Caenorhabditis elegans: one gene and its partner. The protein of the gene in region 2 interacts with the protein of the main gene of each other region in a pairwise test. Each region holds a gene or a part of one and is shown on either strand. Other genes may lie near its edges. The genes, in order: reps-1 and M03A8.3.

Region 1 (7,140 bases), on a different chromosome or scaffold from region 2:
TGTAGTTTGTAGTTTAGCAGCGCCCAAAACTTGTAGTTTGTAGTCTAAGCAGCGCCCAAAATTGAATTAGCAGCGCCCAAAACTTGTAGTTTGTAGTCTAAGCAGCGCCCAAAATTGAATTAGCAGCGCCCAAAACTTGTAGTTTGTAGTCTAAGCAGCGCCCAAAATTGAATTAGCAGCGCCCAAAAGTTGTAGTTTGTAGTGTTAGCAGCGCCCAAAACTTGTAGTTTGTAGTCTAAGCAGCGCCCAAAATTGAATTAGCAGCGCCCAAAACTTGTAGTTTGTAGTCTAAGCAGCGCCCAAAAGTTGTAGTTTGTAGTTTAGCAGCGCCCAAAATTTGTAGTTTGTAGTGTTAGCAGCGCCCAAAACTTGTAATTTGTAGTCTAAGCAGCGCCCAAAACTTGTAGTTTGTAGTCTAAGCAGCGCCCAAAATTGAATTAGCAGCGCCCAAAAGTTGTAGTTTGTAGTTTAGCAGCGCCCAAAATTGAATTAGCAGCGCCCAAAAGTTGTAGTTTGTAGTGTTAGCAGCGCCCAAAACTTGTAGTTTGTAGTTTAGCAGCGCGTAAAATTGAATTAGCAGCGCCCAAAAGTTGTAGTTTGTAGTTTAGCAGCGCCCAAAATTGAATTAGCAGCGCCCAAAAGTTGTAGTTTGTAGTGTTAGCAGCGCCCAAAACTTGTAGTTTGTAGTTTAGCAGCGCGTAAAATTGAATTAGCAGCGCCCAAAAGTTGTAGTTTGTAGTTTAGCAGCGCCCAAAACTTGTAGTTTGTAGTCTAAGCAGCGCCCAAAATTGAATTAGCAGCGCCCAAAACTTGTAGTTTGTAGTCTAAGCAGCGCCCAAAATTTGTAGTTTGTAGTGTTAGCAGCGCCCAAAACTTGTAGTTTGTAGTCTAAGCAGCGCCCAAAACTTGTAGTTTGTATTCTAAGCAGCGCCCAAAATTGAATTAGCAGCGCCCAAAACTTGTAGTTTGTAGTTTAGCAGCGCCCAAAATCACATTTTCGCTCAAAATTAACCAAAATTGCCGGTTTTTTCGCATTTTTCGACGGAATTTTCTGTTTAATTCGTTAAAATTTGGGAATTTTTATGATTTTTCAGCGGAAATCGCTTGAGCAGCGCCCAAAACTTGTAGTTTGTAGTTTCCACGTGGGGCTCAATTCCTCGAAACTTACACAAATTCGCCAGTTTTGAAGCTTTTCGTGTCATTTTTATCGTGAAATTCGACATTTGTGGGTTTCAGCGCCTTATCAACATAAAATTCACTGTCCAATCCATACAAAAGCTGTCCTTTATCACTAATATCATCACTTTCTCGCCGTTCCAGCAGCTCTTGCGGTGCTTCATCATCATCATCATCAGTCGGTGGATCCGAATCGAATCCGCTGCTTTCCCCGCCGCCGGCTTCTCGATTTTCAGCCGGCGGTAGATCACCGGATTCACTGCTCGCCGAGCTGTCTGGAGCCCCCCCGGCGGCCGAAATTCCGACGCCATTGTACTCGACGCCATATCCAACGTACCAGCCGTCTTCTAAATTCGAATTATCAATCGAAAAAGTGTCGATTTGAAGGATTTCGCAGGGTTTTGTGGATTTTTGAGCATTTTCGTGCTGTTCCATCGTTAATCCTTGCTTCCCGAGCGCATTTTTCAGCGTTTTCAGCTCTCTTTTTGTGAGATTTCGGGCTTTTTCAGGAATCTGCGGGATTTCGGACGATTGGGGCATCAGAACCTGGAAAAAATAATTGTTATGCTGTTAAAATCGAATTTTGGGGCAAAAAAAACCTTAAAAATACGATTTTCCGGCTGAATTTCATTATTTTTCGCAAAAATTTCAGATTTAGCTCGAAAATCGGTTGAATCTTGCCGATATTTGATAGTTTTCACCCGTAAAAACCCCGAAATCCATGAAAAACCACTTTAAAACTGAAAAACAAATTATACAACTAGGAAATGGATATTTTTCAGCGTTTTAGGTGTATGAATAGGAGATTTTAACGCTTTTTTAATTAATTTTTGCTTTAAAAAACTGATTTTTACCCAAAAAATCTGTGAAAATTGAGTTTTTCAGCTGAAACATCGTTTCAAAACGAAAAAATAAATTTGCCGGCACGAGAATCGCGCCAGTCAACCCCCTTTGCGCATCTCCAGTGCGCTGGCGCATTTCTCGTGCACCAACTATTTTATTTGCTTTTCCGCGAAAAAATCAATTTCCATGACAGAAAACGACAAAAAATCGCAATATTTTTCGAATGGAGACTTTGAAAAAGTCGCTGCCGATATTATTAGTAGTCCGAGACGTCTGAAGCACACGAGTCCAGGTGATTATTTTGAAAAATAAAGAATTTCAGCTCGAAATCGGCAAATTTGATGCAAAAACGTGGAAATTAAGCTGAAAAACGGTGAAAAATCCAGAAAAATTAGGAAAAAGTGCAAAATTATCCTCAAAAATGAGTAGTTTTAATGAAAATATAACCTTTTTCGATTTTTCTCAAATTTTTTCGCATTTTTGAAGAGATTTCCGCTATAAAACAGATGAAACTAATTTAAAAAAACCACTTTTGAAGGTTTTTGAGTGAATTTTTTGGGCGCTGCTTAGACTACAAACTACACAATTTTAGGCGCTGCTAATTCAATTTTGGGCGCTGCTAAACTACAAACTACAAGATATTGGTCGCTGCTAAACTACAAACTACACAATTTTGGGCGCTGCTAAACTACAAACTACAAGATTTTGGGCGCTGCTAAACTACAAACTACACAATTTTGGGCGCTGCTAAAGCTACAAACTACACAATTTTGGGCGCTGCTAAACTACAAACTACAAGATATTGGTCGCTGCTAAACTACAAACTACACAATTTTGGGCGCTGCTAAACTACAAACTACACAATTTTGGGCGCTGCTAAACTACAAACTACACAATTTTGGGCGCTGCTAAACTACAAACTACACAATTTTGGGCGCTGCTAAACTACAAACTACAAGTTTGGGCGCTGCTAATTCAATTTTGGGCGCTGCTAAACTACAAACTACAAGATTTTGGGCGCTGCTAAAGCTACAAACTACACAATTTTGGGCGCTGCTAAAGCTACAAACTACACAATTTTGGACGCTGCTTTTCCGTTTAGCGGCGCCAAAATCGATTTTTTCTATTTTTAAGCACATTTTCTCAGGGAAAATTGCAAAAATCGAAATTATTTCGGTTTTAAAGCTAAAAAACTCGAAAAAATCCAAATTTCCCCAATTTTCAGCCGATTCCAACGCGGATTCTCTCTTCAAAATCACTGAAAAACAGCAGGAATACTACACAAAATGCTTCCGTCACTTAATAAAAACCACTCAAGGCGCCGCAGACCTCTGCGGAGCCCTTTGCGGAGCCGATCAACGAATTGTAGCGTTTTTCAAGAGAAGCTCGCTGGATATGAGCTCTTTATCGAAAATCTGGTCGCTGGCCGATGTGAATGAAGACGGATGGTTGGATTTAAACGAATTCTCGATTGCGATGCATTTAGTAGTGTTGAAAGTGAAAGGAGAAGTTCCGATTCCTGATGTGCTACCCGGTTTCGCGCGGCCACCACTTACAGAGCCACGGGCTCCGTCTACAGTTGCGGCGACGCCTAGTCCCGCCGGTGCAGGACATGTAGAAGCTGATGGGCCAGTGAAAAATGTGGGGGTTTTTGAAATAATTTAATTGACTTTTGAATATGTATCATCATTCAAAACATTAACGACGTTTTTTTTTTAATTTCGAATTTTTCCAATTCCAGTGGGCAAACCAGCCAATCATCAAACAATTCTCGGATACACCGCCATTATTAGTGGACAGTAGGCCAACAGCTATCAAGCATTCTGCATTGTTAGCACTTAAGAGTCCACTGGGTAAGTTTGGATTCATTGAAGAAATTGTTGTAGTGTTTATTATACTTCTCAAATGTGTGAACACAATATAAAAAGTTTAAATTATTGACTAATAATAATTTATTCGAAAAATTGCTAGTTGAATAGCAGTCATACTACAAAAACTACAATAGTTTTCGATTCAAATGTTTTAGAAAACCTAGTTTTCTAATCAGTAACATAGTTATTTATATACTGACTAAGTAACTAATTATTTAATTAATAACTATTTAAGTACGTTTTTAATTCGTGACTTAGTTAGTAATTAAAATACTTACTGAGTTGCTAATTATATAACTTGGTAAGTAGTTAATTAGAAACTTAGTTATGAAATTACTAACTCAATACGAATTTAATTACTAACTTAGTGAGTATTTAATTAGTAACATAGTTATTTAATTTATAACTCAGGAAGTATTTAATTAGTGACTTAGTTAGTAATTAAATAACTAAGTAAGTATTTAATTACTAACCCTGTTAGTGTTAATTAGTAACAAAGTGAGTATTTAATCAGTAACGTAGTTATTTAATTTGTAACTAAGGAAGTATTAAATTGCTACTAAGTGAGTATTTAATTACTAACTAAGTGGGTATTTAATTAGTAACAGAGTGAGTTTTTAACTACTAATTTTCTTATTTAATCATCATCTAAATAAGTACTTAATTAGTAACTTAGTAATTAAATTACTAACTACGTAAGTATGTAGTTAGTAACTTAGTTATTTAATTACCTAAATAAGTATTAATAAGTATTAAGTATTAAGTAAGTTCATTAAAACACGCAACACTCAATATTTAGTAGTATTTGCAATCTAAGAGCAGCGCCCGAAATCAATAATCCATATTTTCAGGACCCCCACCAATTCCACCTGTCCGCCCACAACAACAACAACGTGGACACAACAGAAGTGCAAGTCTTGACTTGAAATTGATTGCATTGAATAAGACAAAAGCCTCGGCGGAATCCCAGCTACCACCAACTACCCTATCACTTTGGTCATCACATTCCGATCCGACAGCTCAATCGATTAGTACTACAACGACTACGACTACTTTTGCGTCTTTTCCTGGTATGAGACTGAAAAATTGGGCAGAAATTCGAAAAAAATTTTAAAAAAACTGGAATTTTTCAAAAAATATATTGCTTTCAATTTTCGAGAAAAAATCAAAATATTCCCAATTTCCGCAAATTTTCAGCCACCCCGGACAGTATTCCACCGCCGATTCCACAAAGAATCACACCGTCACCTCTACCGGTAAGTTAAGGGAAAGCTTTTAGTTGTAGTTTGTAGTCTTAGCAGCGCCCAAAGTTTGAAATTATTCGTTTTAACGAATTTTTAAGAAAAACTTTTCAAAATTGCGATAAAATCGAAAATTAGTGTAGTTTTTATTTTCTGAACAGGTTGAAAATCACAAAAATATGATTTTTAAACAATTTTTGGCTATTTTTTTGTGCGCTGCTATTTTTTTGGGCGCTGCTAATTTTTGGGCGCTGCTATTTTTTTGGGCGCTGCTAATTTCTTGGGCGCTGCTAATTTCTTGGGCGCTGCTAATTTCTTGGGCGGGCTGCTAAAAATTTACTTGTAGTTTGTAGTTTTAGCAGCGCCAAAATTCAAAAATACTCATTTTTAACCATTTTTCTTCAAATTTTTCAAATTTTTCACTGAAAAATCTCCAAAAATTCACAATATTTTTGCAGAGAGTCATCGAAGAGGAAAAACGAATTACCACAACAGATTCATCAACACAAACTACAGAATTACTCTATTCTGAGGAAGATGTGAAGAGCTTTTTCTCGAAAATCGGCCATCAAATCGACGATTTAATTGGAGAAGAGATTCAGGCAACTGATGGGCAAGGAATTGAACGATGGAAGGAACGTTGTACAGCTTTGAGGACTCAAAATTCGGAATTAGAAGCCGAAAGAGCACGGTTGGCTCAAGTACGGATTCAATTGGAAATACGAATTCAGGAATTTGAAGAGAGATCCAAAACTGCGTGCTCTTCTTCTACACTTTAATGATATCCCCGGTGGAGGAAAAATGGATGGGAAATTCGAATTTTTGAGGAAAAATAGGAAAAAAATAATTTTTTTCGGCTTGAAAAACTAGGAAATAACACATTTTATTTCGAATTTTCCGGAAAAAATTTTTTTTTTGGAAAAAACTCAATTTTTAGCTGGAAAAATAGAATTTTTAAAGATTTATTACGTTTGGTTAGGAAAATAACAAAAAAATTCGAAATGTATCAATTTCTATGGAAAATTATTTTTTCTGAAAATTTATTGATTTTTCTGAAAATTTATTGATTTTTCTGAAAATTTATCGATTTTTCTGAAAATTTATTGATTTTTCTGAAAATTTATCGATTTTTCTGAAAATTTATCGATTTCTATGGAAAATTTATTGATTTTTCTGGTTTTTCGCATTAAAAAACATGAAATTTGCCCATTTTAGAGCAAATTTTCAAAAATTTCTGAGAAAAAGGTATTTCCCGAAATTAAATTTAACTTCTAAAAAAGTTTTTAATTATTTTCTATCAAAAATTCGAATTTCCCACCAATTTCTCCCCCAGATTCCCCGCAAAAAACTAAAAAATCTGCATATTTCTTCATAATTTCTGTGATATGTCATATATATATTTCATTTTTACCTATGTTGTAATTTTTTAAAATAAGCATCAATTTTTCTATTTTCTGTGATAATTTAATCTATTACACTATCTTCTTTTTTTTTTTTGAAAAAAAAAATCATAAAGTATGTATTGATTTTTACACACATTAAAAATAACTATTTTTTAAAATTGGAAAATATATATATATAAATTTTTCCAAAAAAAAATGAAATAACATGAAAGATGGGAACTATCTAAAAAATTCGGACAAAAAAATTATTACAGATCCGGCTAAAAATTTGGAAAAAATTCCAAATTTTGACAGAATTTGAGGGATCTATTATAAAAACTGCTAGAATAACAAAAAAAAAACAAAAAATTTTCGAGAAAAAAAATTATTACACATTCGTGACGAATGTATAATAATCTTAGCAGAACTAAAAAAAAACAGTAAATTATTGTTGAATTCCGAGTAATTTCTTCATCTGACGACCGTATTCCCGCGTTTTTTCGACAGTTTCCTCGCTATTTCTATAGGCTTTCCACATTTCTCCGAATTCGTCAATCGATTTTTGATCTCCACATCCGGCGGCGCTGGGGCTTAATCCAGGCGTCAACTTGGCTTTTTCCAGTAAAT
Region 2 (5,666 bases):
CAAATTAAAAAAGAATGATTTACAATATATGTTGAAGATAAATTACGCAGTTTTTGATCAAATTCCAGTTTCAATAACACAATTTCTAAATCATAACAACATATATAAACGGCATAAGATAACTACCCACGAATGCAGGAAAATCTAAGATCTTTGTCTGTGTTTATAAATAATTGCTCGAGTATGGGTTACGAAACAAGCCATACACAAGAAAATTTGGTGGAATTTCATTCACATAGCGCGAACACGATTTCAAATTGTAGAAGTGAAAAAAAAAACGAAACAAAAAATTGCCAAATATGACCAGAAGCTGTCGCAGGTCTCAGGTGACTCAAACGTGCGTAATAGTTCAAGGCTTTTTTGTGTGCGTAGTTATGACAGTTTTTTTTCTATGAAAAATTGTTGATTACTTTACAATTTGAAAACAGGTTACCTAAAGTGTGGATCTACGTTTTGGTAGAAGAAAAACAATACAAAAAAGTAAACAAGGCGGTAATGCATGTTTTTCTGTATAATAGGCTGAAAATTCAAGAACCGGATTTTGTCAATATTTCAAAAACAGAAATGAAATGTAAAAATTCGTTTTATAGTTCACTATATTATATTGAAACTTTAAAATGAAGGAAAAATATGAATTTGCAAAAAACCAGAATGCGTGGCGACAGGGAAAGGGCTGAAATGAATTAAAAACTTGAAGAAGGAGTACATAAAAATAAAGTCGATAAAGCAAGTTGAATTTATCTATTCATCAATCTTTTGTGTGCGTAGTACATTCGTTGGCATTGAACATTTTGAAACAAGAAGCTGACGAAGTAAACGCGGAAAGGGAAGAAGAAAATAGGAGAAGAAAATCGGAATTGAAATTCAAATTACAAGTCGGTGTGACGGGTGTAAATCTTCTGCAAATAATATTGAATTAGAATTGTGAGGAAGACGTTGTTGTTGTTGTGAGAAATTAAGTTGTGTGAAATTGAAGAAAGTGGGTGACGGCAGCAAGGATGTGAGGGAAAAAAGTGGAAGAAAGCTCATACATTCTCAGACGTCACCGAATCCATATCTTGGAACGACACGCTTTTCGTTGGTGAGAATTTGTTTTGCTCGAGCAATATTCCTTTCGGCAGTTGGACTCTGAAATTGTCAATCATAAATCTTCAATGAATGCCAGATGTTTTATTTGATTTTTCTGTCTCTCTCCCGCATTTTTGATTTCTAGAATTTCATAAGACAAATTATTTCAGATAGATAACAATATGAACAAAGTTTATCCACTTCTAACAACATCATACTATTTTTACAGAAAAGTCAAATAGCACCAGTAGAAGATTGGCGAAAACCACTTCTTTAGTGAAAAAGATCTTTTTTAAAAATGATTAAGAACCGCTAGCTCCTCTTTAAGAATGTGTGGTAATTCACAAACCTGACAAAATCCCTGTCCGCTGATTCCTCGAAATCCGTCCGAGACTCATTCTTTTTCTTTTGCAAAAAAGAAATCTTATGTCTCAACATTTCCATTGACGCGTTTCGTCTCAATTCGTTTTTCACAACTCTGTTCACAAATTCGGTTTCATTCAATTGCAGGCTAGATACTGAAGTGTCTGTTGAGCCCTGGATTTTTGAATAAACGCCGCCAGAGTCCACACTCTCCATTGTTGAGTTGTTACTGAAAACGGAAATTGAATTCTGAACACGGAAATGCAAAGTACCTGAGCCCTGGGCTGGTGTTATTCACGAGTCTATTGGGATGAAAATAACGATTGAAGCGGCAAATCGTTTTTGTCTGAGGGGTGCTGAAGTCACAACTAAATCGAATAAAACTTCTGAAAATTAATGCATTATATTTTGTATCGCAGAATTACACACCTCAAGTGTTCCACGAAAAGAATGGCATCTCCAGTGGCAAATTCAAAAATTCCCAAATTTTCAACTCCAAAGCCAACGCAATGTTCCCCCGTTCCAACCCTACAAAACATATAACTTGGAATAAAAACCTCTCTAAATAATAGTTTTACCATATCAACGTCTGGTATGGAATACAATGCACGTTATTCGGACCACTGATTTGAAGATGTTCAGCAAACTTTAAATTGTAAACCCCTTCTGTTTTTTCTCTACCGTTCACTTGTTTCAGTTTCAGCATTGTGTATGTTTCTGCTGAAAAAATTAAATAGTGTATACCAAAAACCAGTTCTGAAACCAATCAATCAACATACGAAATTCGAAGCATTCCTCGTCCTCGGTGGGAGAATCCAATGAAGTGCTGGGGGCAATTGTGACATATTGCAGCTGTAAGGTTTTTTTCAAGTTTAAGTTTGTTAGTATGGCAGTTTCAATATTTTTTTTCTAAATTTGTCATTTTTGGTGAAACTTCATAAATAAATTTGCCATTTTTTAAATTGCAACGTATTATTCAAATAATTAAATGTTAGAGGCAAACATTGAAATTTTCCAATTTCTTCTTCTTCTTCTGCTTTGCAAACAGTGGTGCAACCTTCGCAACCGGTTGAGAGGTGTCTAGGGTGAAAGCCACCTGACGCGCCATCAAACATTTCTGACTTACGGACAATGAAGCATTGGAAGTGACATTTAAATTCACAAAATTAAAGAATGGGGGGTCTTAATGTATGGAAAATGATTTACGGGAAAACCATGTTTAAAATTTGTTATTTTGCAGGAAAGGGTGTCTTTTTTTAGTAAGTGCTAAAGATATGCAACTAGTATGAGCCATAATAACATCGTAAATAATTAAAATAAAATAATTAAAGAACTTTATATAGTTTAAAAACTTGCAAAAACAAATTAGAACTATGCTGCTCTAAATGTGAACGCATTCTGAAGAAAAATTCAATTAATTAAAAAACACGTTGGGGCTCTAATAACTATACGAACATATTTTCAAACCCTTAACACCAACCTTTTTTGGAAAACAAATTGCGCTAAGAACATCGATAATTTTCTGCAATTCTTCACTGGAAAATTGCACGAAAGAGTCATCCTTATATTGTACTTTTACAAAAGAGGCTCCTGTATCGGTTTTTGCCGGTTTTAGTGATACCACATTTTCTAACAAAACAGTTTTTGCAGGCTCCGAGTGCTTCTTTTTCCCGTCACTTTGAAAAAGTTCAATTCTAGCTTTGCCCAGAGAATTTTCGTCGAAGAAACTCGCGATGTAGGATTTCCATTTCTGAAATCTATTTTTTTGAAAGAATTTTTAGCGTAAGTATATCCAATGCTCATGCTCAAATTTCGTAGTTGAAGTTTTCACTATTTTTTAAATTACAGTTAAAAAAGCGCCAATTCAGTTCTGATCATCGTTTGGAAAACAGACTAAAAAGTGTCTTAAAAGTTTGTAGTTTTTTTGAATTTTTAGTTAAACTATTTGAGGATTTTGAAATATTATGAGTATTATTACACAACAAATCCACGGAACATAGTTGATCCCAACAATTAGTTAAAGTAAACTTAATTTAATACAACTATAGCATGATTAACTTACTTTTCCTATTAATTTATCTTGGTACAATTGAACTTCTGTTGTCAAGAGAGGCTCCATTGATTTTATGTATCTCGATGGAAGAAAGTTGGAGAATGCCTTCAAAGAGGAATTGAAATGAAGAAAGAACAACATTGAAAAGGTGTGTTTGTGTACAGAAAAGTTCAAAAGGGAGATGAAACGAGAATGAAAAAAACATGAATTGAATCAGTAGTAAAACCTATAGTTTTTAATTTCAAATTTCGAATTTCAAATTTCAAATCATAAGCCTCCGAAAATGCTCAGACCTATCACGCAAACATTAAATCGCGAGCTGTCAAACAAAATCACGACACTATCACGCACATTAATACGGACACAGGCGACTAAAAATGTAAAAATCTGAATCGAAAACTTTTGAAAAAGAAGAACAACCGATAAAATACAATTTCCTAACGCAGAGCCCGAAACGGCATCCCTTTAAGTGAGGCAATGTTCCGCGTCCTCTTGACTTGAGAAAGATAACACTAGAAGATGGAGAGTTGAAGACCGTATGCCATACCTGACAGATTATTTGTATAGAGTACATAATTTTAGGATTAGTGGTGAACTTGGACGATTGCGGCATGTTCAGTCTCGATGGTGGCAGATTTTGATGAGTTGTGGGGTCCGATAAAATGAAAATGAAAGGAAACCAGTGAGAGCTAAACAGTACTACCACGTCGAATCTATTTGCATTACAACCACTCAGATTCCCACCAATTTTTGTGACAAACATTCGAAAGACACTTGTTGCACAGACATACATACAATGATTGACCGTTCGTGTTTGATGGTCTCGGGTTGATAAGAGAAAAAAAGATAATAAAGATGAGCTCTTTTGATTCAAAGAGAAGATTAGAAAAGACTATCACGGAAATAGGTCTAAAAATGTTTGAACGCCAAATCAAAATTTTTGGTAATATTTCAAAGTTTCTATGATTGGAGCAAAAGTTTTTTTCATTATAATCTAGTAATAAAAAAGCGAAAGCACAAAATTTCGTTACTAAAAATGCGATGTAAATATGGAAAAGCACGAATAGGGACGAAAGCTGGGCATTCTTCATAAATTGATTTCTTGACATTTTCTTGAGTTTTTGGAACGGCTTTTCTTGATCTCTTGATTTCTTTTGCCCATCTCTATTAGGGACATAGCCAATTTTCAAACCCTTCAGACCATATGATTGGGAATTTTTTTGAATAATCAAAGAAGGCCAAGATGAAAAAAAACTTGTATTTTACTAAACTTGAAAATACAGAAAAAATAGTTCACAATATGTGGTTAAAATACATAAAATCCGTTTTTCTGCTTATTTGAAATTTCTGGAGTTTTTATTTTTGTATGCACTTGTCAGTTTAAAGTGCACATAAACGCAACAAAAATCAATCAGTGCAAGTGCATAAAATCTGTCACCCTAAATTGTACTCATCAGGTTTACAGCCTGAAACGATTACAAATTTACGGTCATCAGATCCGTTGAAACATAAAACCAATCGAGAATCTAGACAATTTGATCATAGTTACACTGTTAATGTGCTTGGAAAGAAAGCAAAAAACATACATATGCAATTGAATAGAACACCTTCACAAGGAAGAATATAGAGAGTAGAAAGTATGGGCAAAAAGGTTTTGAATTTCATTTGGTTTTGCATGTCAAAAAGAACGGATTCACTGCCGACGCCCTCCAAACTTGTTCCGTACATTAACATGCTTTCAAGACGGCAACTATATCACTGTTCTCATTGGAGCGTGCATGATCGAAAAAAACGGAAATGGAAGTTTAAAAAGGGTATCTAGAAAAATTAGCAAATTCTATTTCGACGGCGGCTTATCAAAGACCACTGCTCAATTATTGACTGTTCGGTTTTAATGGGAGGTGTTTTGAGATTGAACGACGAGAATAAGCAGAAAAGAGACAAAATAAACCGAAAACACACGGGAAGCGAAAAGAAGAACAAGGTGGAAAACGAATCAAATGGGCACAACTAGCCATAAAAGCGGTTGGTGCGGGCTGTATCAAGTTGTATAATTTATAGAGAACGAACATATACATGTGTTTTCATGGTGGTGAGGCGGTCGGAGGTCGGTTTCATTTGAGTAACCGAAAGCCGATTATCAGTGCAAACTTGAGTAAACACTGACGTTTGCGTGGTGATG

What was found.
Region 1: the proteins of M03A8.3 (region 2) and reps-1 interact in a two-hybrid assay, tested with the Caenorhabditis elegans proteins (one large-scale study listed by BioGRID).

Annotation. Positions count from the first base shown.
Region 1 is NC_003283.11:18,985,434-18,992,573, reverse strand, and holds reps-1 (REPS (RalBP1-associated Eps domain-containing protein) homolog), read left to right. Parts: upstream 1-2,073; 5' UTR 2,074-2,205; coding exon 2,206-2,311; intron 2,312-3,244; coding exon 3,245-3,660; intron 3,661-3,760; coding exon 3,761-3,872; intron 3,873-4,741; coding exon 4,742-4,960; intron 4,961-5,087; coding exon 5,088-5,146; intron 5,147-5,589; coding exon 5,590-5,910; 3' UTR 5,911-6,600; downstream 6,601-7,140. Other genes in the region: Y39B6A.37 (Structural protein), read right to left, coding at 1,169-1,716; mrps-35 (Small ribosomal subunit protein mS35 mitochondrial conserved domain-containing protein), read right to left, coding at 6,959-7,140.
Region 2 is NC_003284.9:6,798,611-6,804,276, reverse strand, and holds M03A8.3 (TLDc domain-containing protein), read right to left. Parts: upstream 3,590-5,666; 5' UTR 3,551-3,589; coding exon 3,494-3,550; intron 3,182-3,493; coding exon 2,912-3,181; intron 2,284-2,911; coding exon 2,211-2,283; intron 2,152-2,210; coding exon 2,010-2,151; intron 1,960-2,009; coding exon 1,861-1,959; intron 1,818-1,860; coding exon 1,704-1,817; intron 1,661-1,703; coding exon 1,418-1,660; intron 1,129-1,417; coding exon 1,032-1,128; intron 900-1,031; coding exon 870-899; 3' UTR 573-869; downstream 1-572.